3 linked regions of the Ovis aries genome follow. The main gene of each other region encodes a partner of the protein of the gene in region 2 in a complex. Links are inferred from orthologs where the notes say so. Each region holds a gene or a part of one and is shown on either strand. Other genes may lie near its edges.

Evidence for each region. Proteins that work in one complex are often made in the same cells at the same time.
Region 1: the proteins of WDR20 (region 2) and USP46 are in contact, whole or in part, in a crystal structure (PDB 6JLQ), measured with the Homo sapiens proteins. The link is inferred for Ovis aries from reciprocal best matches to the Homo sapiens genes WDR20 and USP46. Residues at the interface, in NP_653175.2 of Homo sapiens: Asn41, Ser42, Gly44, Arg151, Lys259, Tyr261, Phe262, Gly263, Glu282, Asp283, Asp284, Leu285, His301, Lys304, Ser305, Trp306, Gln374, Asp375, Thr376, Leu509, Arg516, Met517, His533, Glu534, Arg535; in NP_073743.2 of Homo sapiens: Asn205, Thr206, Ser207, Thr209, His210, Arg213, Arg273, Val275, Phe276, Pro277, Glu279, Leu280, Arg281, Phe283, Asp293, Met295, Gln338, Glu342, Tyr344, Thr347, Ser348.
Region 3: the proteins of WDR20 (region 2) and USP12 are in contact, whole or in part, in a crystal structure (PDB 5K1C), measured with the Homo sapiens proteins. The link is inferred for Ovis aries from reciprocal best matches to the Homo sapiens genes WDR20 and USP12. Residues at the interface, in NP_653175.2 of Homo sapiens: Asn41, Ser42, Gly44, Ser45, Arg151, Ser170, Lys259, Ser260, Tyr261, Phe262, Gly263, Glu282, Asp283, Asp284, Leu285, His301, Lys304, Ser305, Trp306, Gln374, Asp375, Thr376, Arg516, Met517, His533, Glu534, Arg535; in NP_872294.2 of Homo sapiens: Glu207, Asn209, Thr210, Ser211, Thr213, His214, Arg217, Arg277, Val279, Phe280, Pro281, Leu282, Glu283, Leu284, Arg285, Phe287, Asp297, Met299, Gln342, Glu345, Tyr348, Thr351, Ser352.

The regions. Positions count from the first base shown.
Region 1 is NC_056059.1:69,023,664-69,027,730, reverse strand, and holds part of USP46 (ubiquitin carboxyl-terminal hydrolase 46), read left to right. Parts: intron 1-935; coding exon 936-1,016; intron 1,017-3,421; coding exon 3,422-3,635; intron 3,636-4,067. UniProt on the Homo sapiens protein: Deubiquitinating enzyme that plays a role in behavior, possibly by regulating GABA action. May act by mediating the deubiquitination of GAD1/GAD67.
Region 2 is NC_056071.1:64,614,788-64,619,470, reverse strand, and holds the start of WDR20 (WD repeat-containing protein 20), read right to left. Parts: upstream 3,010-4,683; 5' UTR 2,988-3,009; coding exon 2,739-2,987; intron 1-2,738. UniProt on the Homo sapiens protein: Regulator of deubiquitinating complexes. Activates deubiquitinating activity of complexes containing USP12. Anchors at the base of the ubiquitin-contacting loop of USP12 and remotely modulates the catalytic center of the enzyme.
Region 3 is NC_056063.1:32,987,091-32,991,157, reverse strand, and holds part of USP12 (ubiquitin carboxyl-terminal hydrolase 12), read right to left. Parts: intron 1,422-4,067; coding exon 1,224-1,421; intron 1-1,223. UniProt on the Homo sapiens protein: Deubiquitinating enzyme that plays various roles in the regulation of the immune response and inflammation.

The DNA of each region.
Region 1 (4,067 bases), on a different chromosome or scaffold from region 2:
CTTGTATGCTACAGTCTATGGGGTTGCAAAGAGTTGGACATGACTGAGCGACTGAACAATAACAGTTTACCTACTGGGAATGTTGTGAGAATCAATAGTGCAGTTCCTGGCACACAGTGGGAGTATCCAGTAACTTACTATCCTCAGGCTGGAGTGTTGAACTTGAGTATGCATGGCTTACGATTTGATACACTTGGGAACAGTTAGGTTTTAAATGTTTTAAATCTGTGTCTCTATTATTTATAATGTTTCCTTGGACATTTTGCTTTCTCAATAAGGCCTTCCCTGACCCACCCTATTTAAAGCTGCAACAATCTACCCTTCACACCTCCTCACTCCATGCCTTCCCTCCTCCCCCTACTCCCTGGAGTCCCTACCCTCATTTCTAGCTTTTTTTTTTCTCCACTGCACTTACGACATTCTGATGTACTGTCCAGTATACTTGCTTTTTCTTTCAGACTGCCTTTGTCCACTGTTCTGTTGTCAGAGCCTAGAACAGTGCCTGGCATGTGGTGGGTGCACAGTAGATAAATCTTTATCAGAAAAACACCATGACTTTGAAATTGGTGGTATGATTCTATACACCACTGAGTAGCATAAAATATACTCCAGGTATCTGAGCTTAGAACATTTTATTTGGAAGTTCTGAGTGGCAGTTTGCTCATTACCTGTCCTAAACCTGCTTTCCTAATGGAAGGTCATTGAAGCTGGGTAGAACAGATTTGAGGGACGATGAAGTTGGGTGAGGACAGGAATAGGCTGACCTCATTACCTCATCTACGGTTTACTTCCGACACCTGTTTTCAGCATGATCATCTCCAGACTCTGTAGCCACTAGGGGAAATGTTGGTCTCAATAGCGGGCTCTCTCAAGTATCCTTTTGCTTTCTTGTCTGTTTTACACGCAACAGAACTTTTGCTGTTTTTCTCTTTCAGGGCACCAATGCCTCTGCTCTGGAAAAAGACATTGGTCCAGAGCAGTTTCCAATCAATGAACACTACTTCGGATTGGTCAATGTAAGTATTTTGAAATGTACTGTCTTAATCAGGTGTTTTAGCATTCTTGAAGCAATGTCACTGCCATTTTCATCATTACCAAGTTTTAAATAATTGGTCATACTCCTTGGTTACCATAGGTGGCAAATACTAGAGTAGGGGATATTTAGTCCAATTTTTGGAAGTATGAGTTGCCCCAGAAGAGGAGGTTTAATTAGTGCATTATTAGGTCAGATTCTCATTTTCCCCCCTGTGCTTTAAAGGATTTCCTTTGCACACTAACTTTCAGAGCAATATTATTGGCCTTTGTAGCAAAATCTGCTTTTGTGTGTCCTCCCTTTACCATCTGAATGTGCTCGTCAGATTGTATACATCAGCTCAACCAGAGCTCATCACCAGTGGTTGCTTCGTGGCATAATTTGGTATCTGAAGCATGGGTTGGAAGTGGGGGGAGACTGGGGCCAGTTTATCTCTAAATCCCTTGGCCTCATTTCACTTGTGCTCAGCAACGGTCCCCTTGTATATAGCCAGACTTGTTCGGCACTGTGTCCTGGATAAGTTCATGATAGCTGGGTAGTAAGGCAATATTACCCACCACCCTCATGAGCTTTCTTCTCCAGCTGATCCTTTCTCTCTGGGGTGGAGGATGTAAATAACATCAGCTGCTACCTCACTAGCACCAGGTTTTCTAGAACAACTGCTCTGAGCATGGTCTGCCAGAACTCAGGTGTCATAGGTCATAGTCTCTACTGAGTGTTCTGAGTGAATGCCGCTGTGGACTAATGGAGTGGACATTGTCTCTGAAGTAGTACAGACCTAATCCAGAGTCTGCCTGTGCTGCTCCCTAGCTGTGTGATCTTGGGCAAGTCACTTGCCCTCTCTGAGCTTCCATTTCCCCTTCTGTGAAATGGGTCACAGCGGTTTCTACACTTTGGCTTATAGTGAAGGATCCGTGAGAGCTCCTACTGAAGGTCCTGACATGAGGCTGAGGCACAGTGACGCTCGGTAAATGTTAGTTCCTTTTCTTTCCCAGGAGCCAAGTGTTACTAAAGGGTGTCTGGCTAAAGGTGAGGTACTGAGTAAGGAAAAGAATGGGAGGAGGAGGCTAAAGTACTGGCATATAGGGCACTGTGTTGATGGAATACTGACTTAGAATTTTAATGCAGCGTTTTAGGCATTGGGCAAAGGCCTCTTGCTTAAGCTCTATGAGGATAGTTATTTAAGTTGAGGGAGTTCTGCCTTGGCCAGGGAAAAGATGGATGCAGACTATGGAGGAATAAAGAACTAAAGCCATCTCCTAGCCTGTGGAAGCATTGTGAGATCTAAACCTAATAATAGTTTTGTACATGTTCACTTTGAATGGTAGTTCATGAAAGTTACAGCTTCTCTTTAAAAAGGGGTTTGTCTCATCACGTAATTGTGTCAAAGTAGATTAAAATGTATAAAAATAGGAAGTGTTCTATCAGCATACGAAGAAATGTCCCGTTAAGGATGGCCGTGCATCTGCCTCACTCTTGGGCAGATGACACACAAGCCAGCTACCAGGCTTGAGAAGGTGTTCATGTTCCATTTCAATCTTACACAGCATTTTCTAATCTGCTATTAATCTTCTAATTGTCCTAGATGGTTTCCCTCTTTATTTTAGCACATATGAGCAACTCTAAAATGAACGTCTCCGCTATGTGTTCTCCCATAGAACTGGTTATCCAGTCAGTTGAAAACCAGTGAGATGATGACTTTTTGCCTCGTTAAATCATAACCGTGGCTTTTGAGAAGTGCAGCGTGTCACTCTGTGGGTCCTGTTACGGTGGCAGGAGACCAGGACCTATGTGCTATTGTATTGAGACAGTGGCTACTTTGGCAGAAACGAGATTGCTTTGGAGAAAGTGAGGCGATTAGTCTGAAGCCTGTGGCAGGAGTGCCAAACCCTTGAAAGAGAGAAACTTAAAACAAGTCCCCACTCAGTTAAGGCTGTTTCAGCTGAGCAAGCGGTTCCTAGTAGCTGGATTTCTTTCTGATTGAGGTTTTTATTGTCCCTGTCATACGAGTTTTGATGTGTTGCAGTGTGACGTCTTTTGTGTCGCCAGCTGCTTTTCTATGTCTCCATATCATGTTGATTTTTTTTTTTCTTCACCCTCTCTTTTGAGCACCAGAAAGTCTCATTAGATTTTTAAAAACCAGGGCCGAGTGTCCCTTATCATTTTATAGAGACTTTTATAGCCTAGCGAGCTCTCCAGCTTGTGTATACTAGGATTCATTTCCCTGGCGATCAGCTAGTCACTGGTGTTCGGCCTGGCTTGCTGGTCTACCACGGCATGCAGCCCGTGACACAGGGGATCTGGGCCAGTTCACACCAGGGCGGCCCCTCCCTCTCCTCGCTGCTGCAGAGAACCCTGATTTAAATCGGCCCTCTTGTCCTTTGGCAGTTCGGAAACACATGCTACTGTAACTCCGTTCTCCAAGCCCTGTACTTCTGCCGGCCGTTCCGGGAGAATGTGCTGGCGTACAAGGCCCAGCAAAAGAAGAAAGAGAACTTGTTGACATGCCTGGCAGACCTTTTCCACAGCATCGCCACGCAGAAGAAGAAGGTCGGCGTGATCCCACCAAAGAAGTTCATTTCGAGGCTGAGAAAAGAAAATGGTGAGTAACATGGAGACGAATGTGTTTCAGATCTGAGATAAGGAGAATCAACAGGTCTGTGTAACCTCAAAATGAATCCCCCCCCTCTTTTTTTTTTAAATGGGAAAATAGTATGGCCAACTACTCAGGTTTTAAATACAAGATATTTCTTCTTTTCCACCCAGTAAAAATTGGATTCAAAAAATATACTTAAAAATTCTGATTGGAACTTCCCTAGTGGTTCAGTGGTTAAGACTCCACAGTTGCAGTGCAGGGGCTGTGGGTTCCATCTCTGGTCAGGGAATTAAGATCCCACATGCCACATGGCCAAAAAAAAAAAAGTAATTAATCCTTCCAAAATGGAATGATCTTTTTATTTGCTCCACATTCGGAGGACTTTTTTCTGGGTAGGATCATTATAAGAGGAAAAATTGCCCAAGGCAGGACACTGAC
Region 2 (4,683 bases):
ATATTATATGTGGAATCTAAAAAATAATACAAACAAACATCTATGTAAAACATAAACAGACTCACAGATAAAACAAACTAGCAGTTACCAAAGGGAAGAGGGAAGGTGGAAGGAGCGAGTTATGGGTACAGGATGAGAGATACAAACGATGCATAAAATAAACAGGAAACAAGAATATACTGTATGGCACAGGGAATTACAGCCATTATCTTATACTTTTAATGGAGCATCATCTGTAAAAATACTGAATCACTACGCCTTACACCTGAAACTAATATTATACTATAAACCAACTATACTTTAATAACATAAAAGATCCAGTCAGATTTAAGTTGAATGTATTCATCCAATTTAAATCTTCTAAATTATGTAAATGATCTGATTAACTGTTGTAAAACTTTATATGCCCCAAAGAAAAAATTTTTAAAGAGTCAAAACAACGAAATGTCAAAAACAGATTTATAACTCCTAACCCCAAAAAGTAAAATCTGAAGTTTTTAAATTAAGGTTTAATCCACCTTTAATTAAGGTTTTTAATTAAGGAAAAGAATCTGCCATATTTTAAAATCAGAAACAGAGTCATAAAAACAATCACTTATACTCAGAAATAAAAATAAATGCAAACTCATTCATGGACATGCTTTTTAAAAAAAATTACAGTGGCCAGAAAAGAGCTTAAATGTCCAACATATAATGCAAATGTATCTATAAGATATTACCACATGAAAATGAAATTTTACAGAAAAGTTAATGTGCTCAAGTAAATTACACAGCTGAAGGCAAATTTACATGTTTAAGATTTGTCTTGTTTAAAATAATTTTTTGTGTAGTTTTGAAAAGATCTCCTAATTCATCCTTCATTGAGCAGGACTACAAGTAGGCACCATTATGATACTTCCAGGCAAGAGACCTATTTTTATGATGCAAACCAGAGCTACCAGGTACAGATACAGCTTGCCACTAGAATGCTTCAGAAATAGTATACTTTAAAAGAAAAAAAAAATTTTTTAAGGTAATGTCTACACTAGTAACTTAATATATTTAGCTTTTAGGCACTTAAAAAATTTTTTGTAAATCAATTTAATAACTTAAAATTCTAAACTTATTTTCAGAGAAAAAGCTGATCCTTTCAGTCACTGCATCAATGTTAAGATAAACGCTCCTGTTTGACAGATGCTCTTGACACTTATTTGAACTGTATTTTACATCTACTGAATGTTTCGGGCCTTTAAAGTTCATTATAGTCATAACACTAAAAATCACAACAGCTGTACTGAAATACTCTTTTAAAGAGCTGCAGATGGAAGTTAAGTAACTCGTCAAAGGTCACCCAACAAGTCAGTGACAAAGTTGAGGGCAGGACTAAAAACTTCAACTCCTAGACTACTAACTACTTCAGACTTCTCCAATTCTACAAGAGAACAAAGTCAAGCGATTTACCTCCAGTAATTTATAACAGGATACCTCAAACACAGAAGTACACTTAGCGCAAACACTAACAGGCAGGCTCACCTGGAACAAATGAGACAACCTGCTCCACCGAGATACCACTGCCACATTCCTAGATCTTGTAACCAAGCAAAAACCCACTGCTTCTGGATACAGTATATCCGGGGAAACGTTCACCCTTCAATACATACAATTTATTTTCACACTAACTGACCATTTATAAATTAATCTGTTAACACCTTTTCCCACGCCCAGGTGCTGGCGGGGACGGCAGGGGCATTAATTTCCTCATTTTTCCAAGAGTCAACTCCCAGATGGCGTATCTCGAAAGTAAGCAGTTCTCAATGAGAACACAGTTATGTAGCCAATGAAAGAAAAGTTCTAATAAGTTGCTTCTTTCAAAGAGATACTTTAAGAGGATGATTACATGCTTGCGAGAATTACTGTTAAAATCGCCCGCCCAGAATAATGGTTCTTGTGAAGCAGCTTTTAAGGCATACCCTCCCTTGCTAGGCACATACAGTCTGACTTGTTGGACGAGGATGGATCTGGGCACGCTCATACAGCATCCCTAGGAACCAGCTCAGTTCACTGAAAACATCTCCTCCACTCCCAAGTGTGGTCCTCAGCCCTTTCCATACTGTAAGGGACAAGATGAGCCCTACCTTAACAATCTCTCAGGAGGAAGGTTCCCTCCGCGGAGACAAGTGACAGCCGGCCTCCCTCGGATGATTTTTCTTTTTTTTGGAAACGGCCAAGTGTTAACAGCCGAAGAGGCTCCTAGTGAGTGGCGGTGCGGCAGCAGGTGAGGCGGCCCTTGGTGCCGAGCCGGTCCATTTCTGACCGAGTCCTCCGCCTCCCGGCCGGGTTCCGCCTTACAGACCTGCGCCCAGGCGCCCCTGGTCTCTCACTCAGAGCCGGACTCGCAACCCTCCCCGGGAGGCGAGGCGGCCCGAGCCGCGACCAGACGGCCACCCCACCTCTTCCGGGGACTCGCAGGCCCGGCTCCCCGGCCGTGTCAAAACCTGACAGACCCTGCCGGAGGGGCGGCAGCCGGCCCCACACGCTCCCGGGGGCCTCCCGGGCCGAGCCCCGCACCCCGCGGCCCCTCGCCACCGCCCCCGCCGCCCTCCTCCTCCCGAATCCCCCCTTCCTCAGGAGCACTCCGGTGGAGTTACCGGCCCACTCCAAAGTGAGAGCGGCGGCCACCCCGGCCCCCCGCTGTCACCGCCCTGCCCCCGGCCTCTGCCCACGCCGGGGCCAAGTCCCGCCGGCGCCCCGGTCGGTACCTTGCGGACCCCCTTGTAGATATAGAAGTAGAGCTCCCGGCCCACATTGAAGCAGAGGCGGTCGCCGTTGCCAGACTGGTCGTTGAGGTTTACGAAGGAGACGCGGACAGGGTTAGAGCCCTGCGAGTTGAAGGGCACCCGGTTGGGCCGGCTGTACTCCGAGTGCGGCAGCAGCTTGTACAGACCTTCCCGGGTGGTGAATTGGGTCTTAATCTCGTTCATCTCCTTCCCTCCTCCCTCCGTCGCCATCTTGGAAAGCAGCGTTCATCCTGCCCTAAGTGCCCGGATCACGCCCACTGCGCAGGCGCCGTCCCGGGGCTCTCGCTCTTCCCTCCCTCCCCCCACGCCCCCGCCCCTTCCTTCTGGCCCCTCCCACCCGCGAGCTGGCCCCGCGGAGGCCGGCGAGGAGAAGGGGCGGGCTTGTTTACGGCCCGACTGCGCAGGCGTGCTCACCTGGCGCGCTCCACGCGACGGGGCGTCCGCAGGCTCCTCCCCCCGCCTCCGCGCGACCTCGGAGCCGCGCAGGTGTTCTGGTGCGGGGCGTGCGGGGGTCGACGAGCGGGTGGAGGGGCGGACGGGCTGGCTGGACTGAACCGGCTAGCGGAAGCCGCGCCCGGGCTGCGGTCGGCGGCGCGGAGGGAAACTCGGGACGGCCTCCTCAGTTGCCTCGGGCCCTGCCCTGAGAGGTCCCGAGACCTTTAGGGGCTGAGGAGGGAGCCTCTTCGGCAGCCGGCAAGTCGCGGTCGGCGCGTGGGGCGCCGCGAACAAGCGCGGAAGCCTCAGTGTTCTGAGCCAGGGGAGGGCGCGGGGGAGCCCCGAGGCTGGCAGGGGGCGGGCCCCCCTGTCCTGAGCCTCCGCTAGGCTGCCCCGCGCGACCGTCTGGATGCGCGAGTCGGGAAGCCCCTCTGCGCTTCCCAGAGTCCGTTTCCGACAAGGTACTGAAGGACCTCAGCTTGCCGCTTCATCTTTATTTATTTTTTTCCCCTTTTTTTAAACGGATTGGCGGGGAGAGGACATACAGATATGTAGCATCTGTGTTTGCTAGTCAAATATCTGCATACCTATCTGTGGTGAGCATTGGCTAATTTCAGGAAAGCAGGTTGTATCCGCGCTTGTTTCTTGAGTGTATCTCCAACAGGTGTTTGGAGAAAAGGGGAGGGGTCGGGCCGGGTCGGGGAAATGACTTGTGGAACCAGATACTGAATCGAAGCAAGATTCCCTTCTCTTGCGCCGAAGTTTATTAAGAGCTCTCCAGAAAATGGGAGACTTGATTTTTTTATCAGGCTCAAGTGGAATCTGCAGAATGGTTTACTCCAGGATATGCTGTAGTAGGTCTCAATTGTAAAGCAGGCACGCGGATTAAACCGTCACCCTTTTATCCTTGGGTTTCTTAGCATATTGCATTAGAGTAAGAGAGTTTCTCAAGTGATAAACATTCTAATAGACTTCGCGGAGTTGGAGTGCGAGGCCAACATTTGTTACACCAACAATGTTCTGTTCCCTCAGTACAAATCATAGATGGAGGGTCACAAAAGAAGTAGAGGGAGGTAAGTTGTAAAGAGGAGTTTAAATCATAAACATTTTATGTATCACAAAGCAAGCAGATGCCAGTGCAGACGGTGTCACTGATGTAATAATGCGTTTGACGCTGACATCCCGTATCCGATGTGCATGTTGGCAGAAAAGCTCTAGAATAAAACCCTACTTAAAGAATGGATTCCTAAAACACCTAAAATTTTGTGTTACAATTGTTTTGATGTTATTATGTTTTCTGCTAAAAGTCGAATAGGCATCAGAAGTCTTGATAAATGCCACAATGTATTCTGCGTCCCATGTATTTATCCCAATTTCCTGTAACCATGTTATTTTACGTTGAAAATGTGTATAATCTTCTTGAAGGATAGTGACATCCTGAATCGTCTAAAAATGATTCAACTGTGTTCCT
Region 3 (4,067 bases), on a different chromosome or scaffold from region 2:
GACAGGAAATGGGCTGACGCAGACCATGGAGGTTAAGGACCGTGACAGACGTGGACCCCCCCCCTCCCAGCTATCTTGACCATGTTCTGAGCAGGAAGGTGGGAGGGAGGGACAGCTAACGTTCTCGTTCTCTGGGATACAATACACTGTTGGTACAAGTTTCCAAACACCAGGGGAAATGGAGGAGTGTCCTGTTTTAAAATTATTACAAGAAGGGAATTTCTTGGTGGTCCAGTGGTTAGGACTTGCACTTCTACTGGCTAGGCCCTGGTTCAATCCCTGGTAAGGGAACTAAGATCCCACAAGCTGTACAGTACAGCCAAAGTATGTATGTGTGTGTGTGTATATATATATAATAAAATTAATACAGGAAATTGTAAACAGTCAATGAAAACTGTATGTTCTAAACATAAATGTTGATTCTGCAATGCTCTTGTGGTCTGAGAAACTTTTTGAGCTATTTTATAAATTAAGGTCTATAGATGAGATAGTATACTAAATTAGCAATAGGAAACATACACACAGCCTTGTAAAATCAGAAAACTTATCTTTGAAGGTTATCTCCAAAGCCTTCTAAAAGTATTTTTCATTATTATTAATGTGATGAACATATCCAACTAGTCTCAGCTTTATTTTGTAAAAATAAAGAATTCACTTTATAAAATCTCTTTAAGCAGCATCTTTTTTCTTTTTTTTAACCAACAACCAAGAAAAACAAAAAAGAAAACCAACAGGACTTAAAACTTCTCAGAGTAATATTTAGATGGCAGTGGTGGTGGTTTAGCCACTAAGTTGTGTCTGACTCTTTGCAACCCCATGGACTGTAGCCTACCAGGCTCCTCTGTCCATGGGATTTTCCAGGCAAGAATACTGGAGTGGGTTGCCATCCCCTTCCCCATGGGATCGTCCCAACCCAGGAATTGAACCTGAGACTCCTGCACTGCAGGCAGATTCTTTACCAACTGAGCTACGAGAGAAGCTCCTATTTAGATAATAAGAACAGATATCAGATCCAAGCAATAACACACTATTTTAACAGATAAAAGCTTTAAGGGGGAGATGGTAAAATGGATCTGAAATACTCATTCTGAAATAAACTCATCTCGGTCCTAGAGCACCGGGGGTACGGGATCTCTGGCAGGCCCACCTCTGAGCGGCCCTGGGGTGTCCTGTGTGCACTGCCCGCCCCCAAGCCTCCCGCCTGCATGGCCCACGCCCGTTACCTTCCACAGTGCACCACGACGGCCACGAGGTCATACATTCTGTCAGGATTGGTCGCGTCGCCTGAAGTGTTAAACAGACGAAGTTCTAAAGGGAAAACCACCCGGTAAGAAAGTTTTGTGTATCGATGAAGCTGATCCATATACTTAAATCTTTTCAGATGCAGAGCTAGAATCATGGGCAGCTTTTTCACTTTCATCCTGTCAGGATAAACATGAAGACAGAATCTCGTAACAGACATTCACCGTGTCCTTAAAAGAACTATCAGACTGCAGGACTCAATAACCGCTGACAGTCAGTTTTATCAGCCCAGCACCGCCCACTTCCGCATTCTCTCTACCTGTGCCTCTTCTAAGCTTTTCTTGTGTGCTGGGGTAGAACTGACTCATAATGCTGTGATGGTCTGGGGTGAACAGCGATCTCCTGTCACTCCACCATCAGCAGGGCAACATTCTGATGGTCTTAAGACGGCCCCCTGTCCCTCATCATCTCCAAACCACATAATATGACGTGGAACTCCGTGTGGCTCCCAGACAGAGGTGTAGCCCTTTAAGAACTCTGTACTCCTGAAACAGAGGTCCCTCATGACCAGGCAGACTGCAGGCGACGCCTGTGTCTGGTAGAGGAAAAACCGGTTCCTAAGAGCTGCTGTGCGCAGAGACTGAAATCCATTCGTTCTGCTCATCTGTAAGTCAGGAACAGACTGGGAACAGGAGAGAGAGAAGAGCAATGGAGACCAGCCACTCAGGGCGTTTCACAGACAGGATACAGCTTCTTACTAACAGCTCTGACTGTGCGGATCCCACAAAGGCAATACAATAACCTGGAAACACAGGAATGAGGTTTCTACCTGTCAAGTCCAGGCCGCCTCATCCTCAACAATCCTGACGACCCCCTCCACGCCATCTCTGCTCCCCGATGTCACCGCACGGCAGCCTCTTCCTAACAAAATTCACCGCCAACGCTTTCCCTTCCGACAGAAACAGCTGTTCTCCTCGGTCCTCCACCAGCACTTTACAGACTCACCCTGTCTCGGAACAGTCTGCTACACTACAAAATACAGAGATGGCTGTGGTCTCTCTCTCTGTCTAGGGTCTGGACTCTGGGCAGACAGAAACCATCTCTTTCATTGTATTTCTTCACCACCCAGTAATATGCCTGGCACACAGCAGGTACTTGACAAACAGTGCAGGACTGAATTCTGTATGTGTTCAGTGAAGCAAAACACTTCTCATGCTAAAAAAAAAATTTACTAAGCCACTGCCTCTAATAAAGTGAAAAAAAATTTTTTTATAGCCTTATTCGAAACCTGCATTCTACAGATCTTAAATGTGGAGGAGCAGCAGATTATCCCAGAAATATTTACTAACCTGGCCAGTGCAAAACACTAATGAAAAGAAATGTAAAAACCCAATCTTTGCTGGAAAACCAGCCAGCCACAGGAACCAACAGTCTTTATGTCCTTTTCCTCAATAATTCCATTTCTAGAAATTAAATATATAACCTCAAATACAATATCCCTGAGCCCTCACTGAGACTGAGAAACAGGGATATTTATAATCTCAAAATACCTCCACACAAAATGCATATCAGTTACAACTAGGGAGAAAGCACAGCTTAACGCTGGGAGACAGCACCTCAGTCAAGTGACCAGAGAGAACGGTAGCAGTCACAGGACATCCTGGGAAAGGCTGGCTGTGGGGCTGACCCTCAGCTGGCATCTGGGAACTTGATCTGGGGGGACTCCTGCTGTTCCCTAGCTGGTAAGAGGGTCTTGATGTGCCTGAACTTGTTGCGCAGATCATATGGTTTATGCTGAACACCTGCTTCCCTTGCAGGAGCCTGGAGTTTTGGTACACGCCTGATGGCTTGGCGGGTGAAGAATCCCCCTGCGATGCATTAGACGTAGAGACTCAGGTTTGACCCCTGGGTCAGGAAGATCCCCTGGAGGAGGAATAGCAACCCACTCCAATATTCTTGCCTGGAGAATCCCCATGGACAGAGGAGTGTGGAGGACTGTGGTCCACGGGACTGTAAAGAGTCGGACACTGCGTGACTGAGCGTGTACGCACACGCAAGCAGGGAGTGCCTAGGTGGCCTGCCCCCAGTAAATCTCGGGCACCACACCGAGTCTGTGATGAGCTTCTCTGGGAGACAATGCTGTCACATTCGATGCTGGAGAAACAAGTGTGTCCATGTGACTCCACGGGGACAGGACACTTGGAAGCTGGCTTGGCTTCCCCTTTGCTGATCGGACCTGTCACTGTTCCCTGTGACAAACCTTAGCTGTGAGCAGGACTACAGACGCTGAATCCTATGAGTCCTTCTAGGGAACCATCAAATCCAGGAGCGGTCGTGGGGGCCCCGACACATGACACGTATCAAAATCGTGTACCATTTAAAAAGAACACAGCCTCACCTCTGTGTGATTCCTGCCCAGAATACAAAATCTAAACCTCATTACATTAAAACATGAGATGGACTCAAAGGAGGACATTCTGTAAAATACCTAACCTGTAATTTTTAAGTGTCAAGAGAGTGAAAGTCAAGCAAAGACTGATAAGGAACTGCTCCCAGTATAAAAAGATGACAGAGACACAAATGGTAAATGCAACGTGTGCCTCTGGACTAGACCCTTTTTTCCTATAAAGGACATTACTGGGACATCTGGTGATGCTAAAGTAAGGTCTACAACAACAGTAACATCTCAGCGCTGCTCTCCTGACGTGGCCGGACATGGTACAGGGGAAACGTCCTTGCTGGCAGGATACCACTACCGAAGCCTCAGAACTGTGGGACATCACAGCAGGGACCCACTCTCAAATGGTTAAGGGTGAAAAGCATTC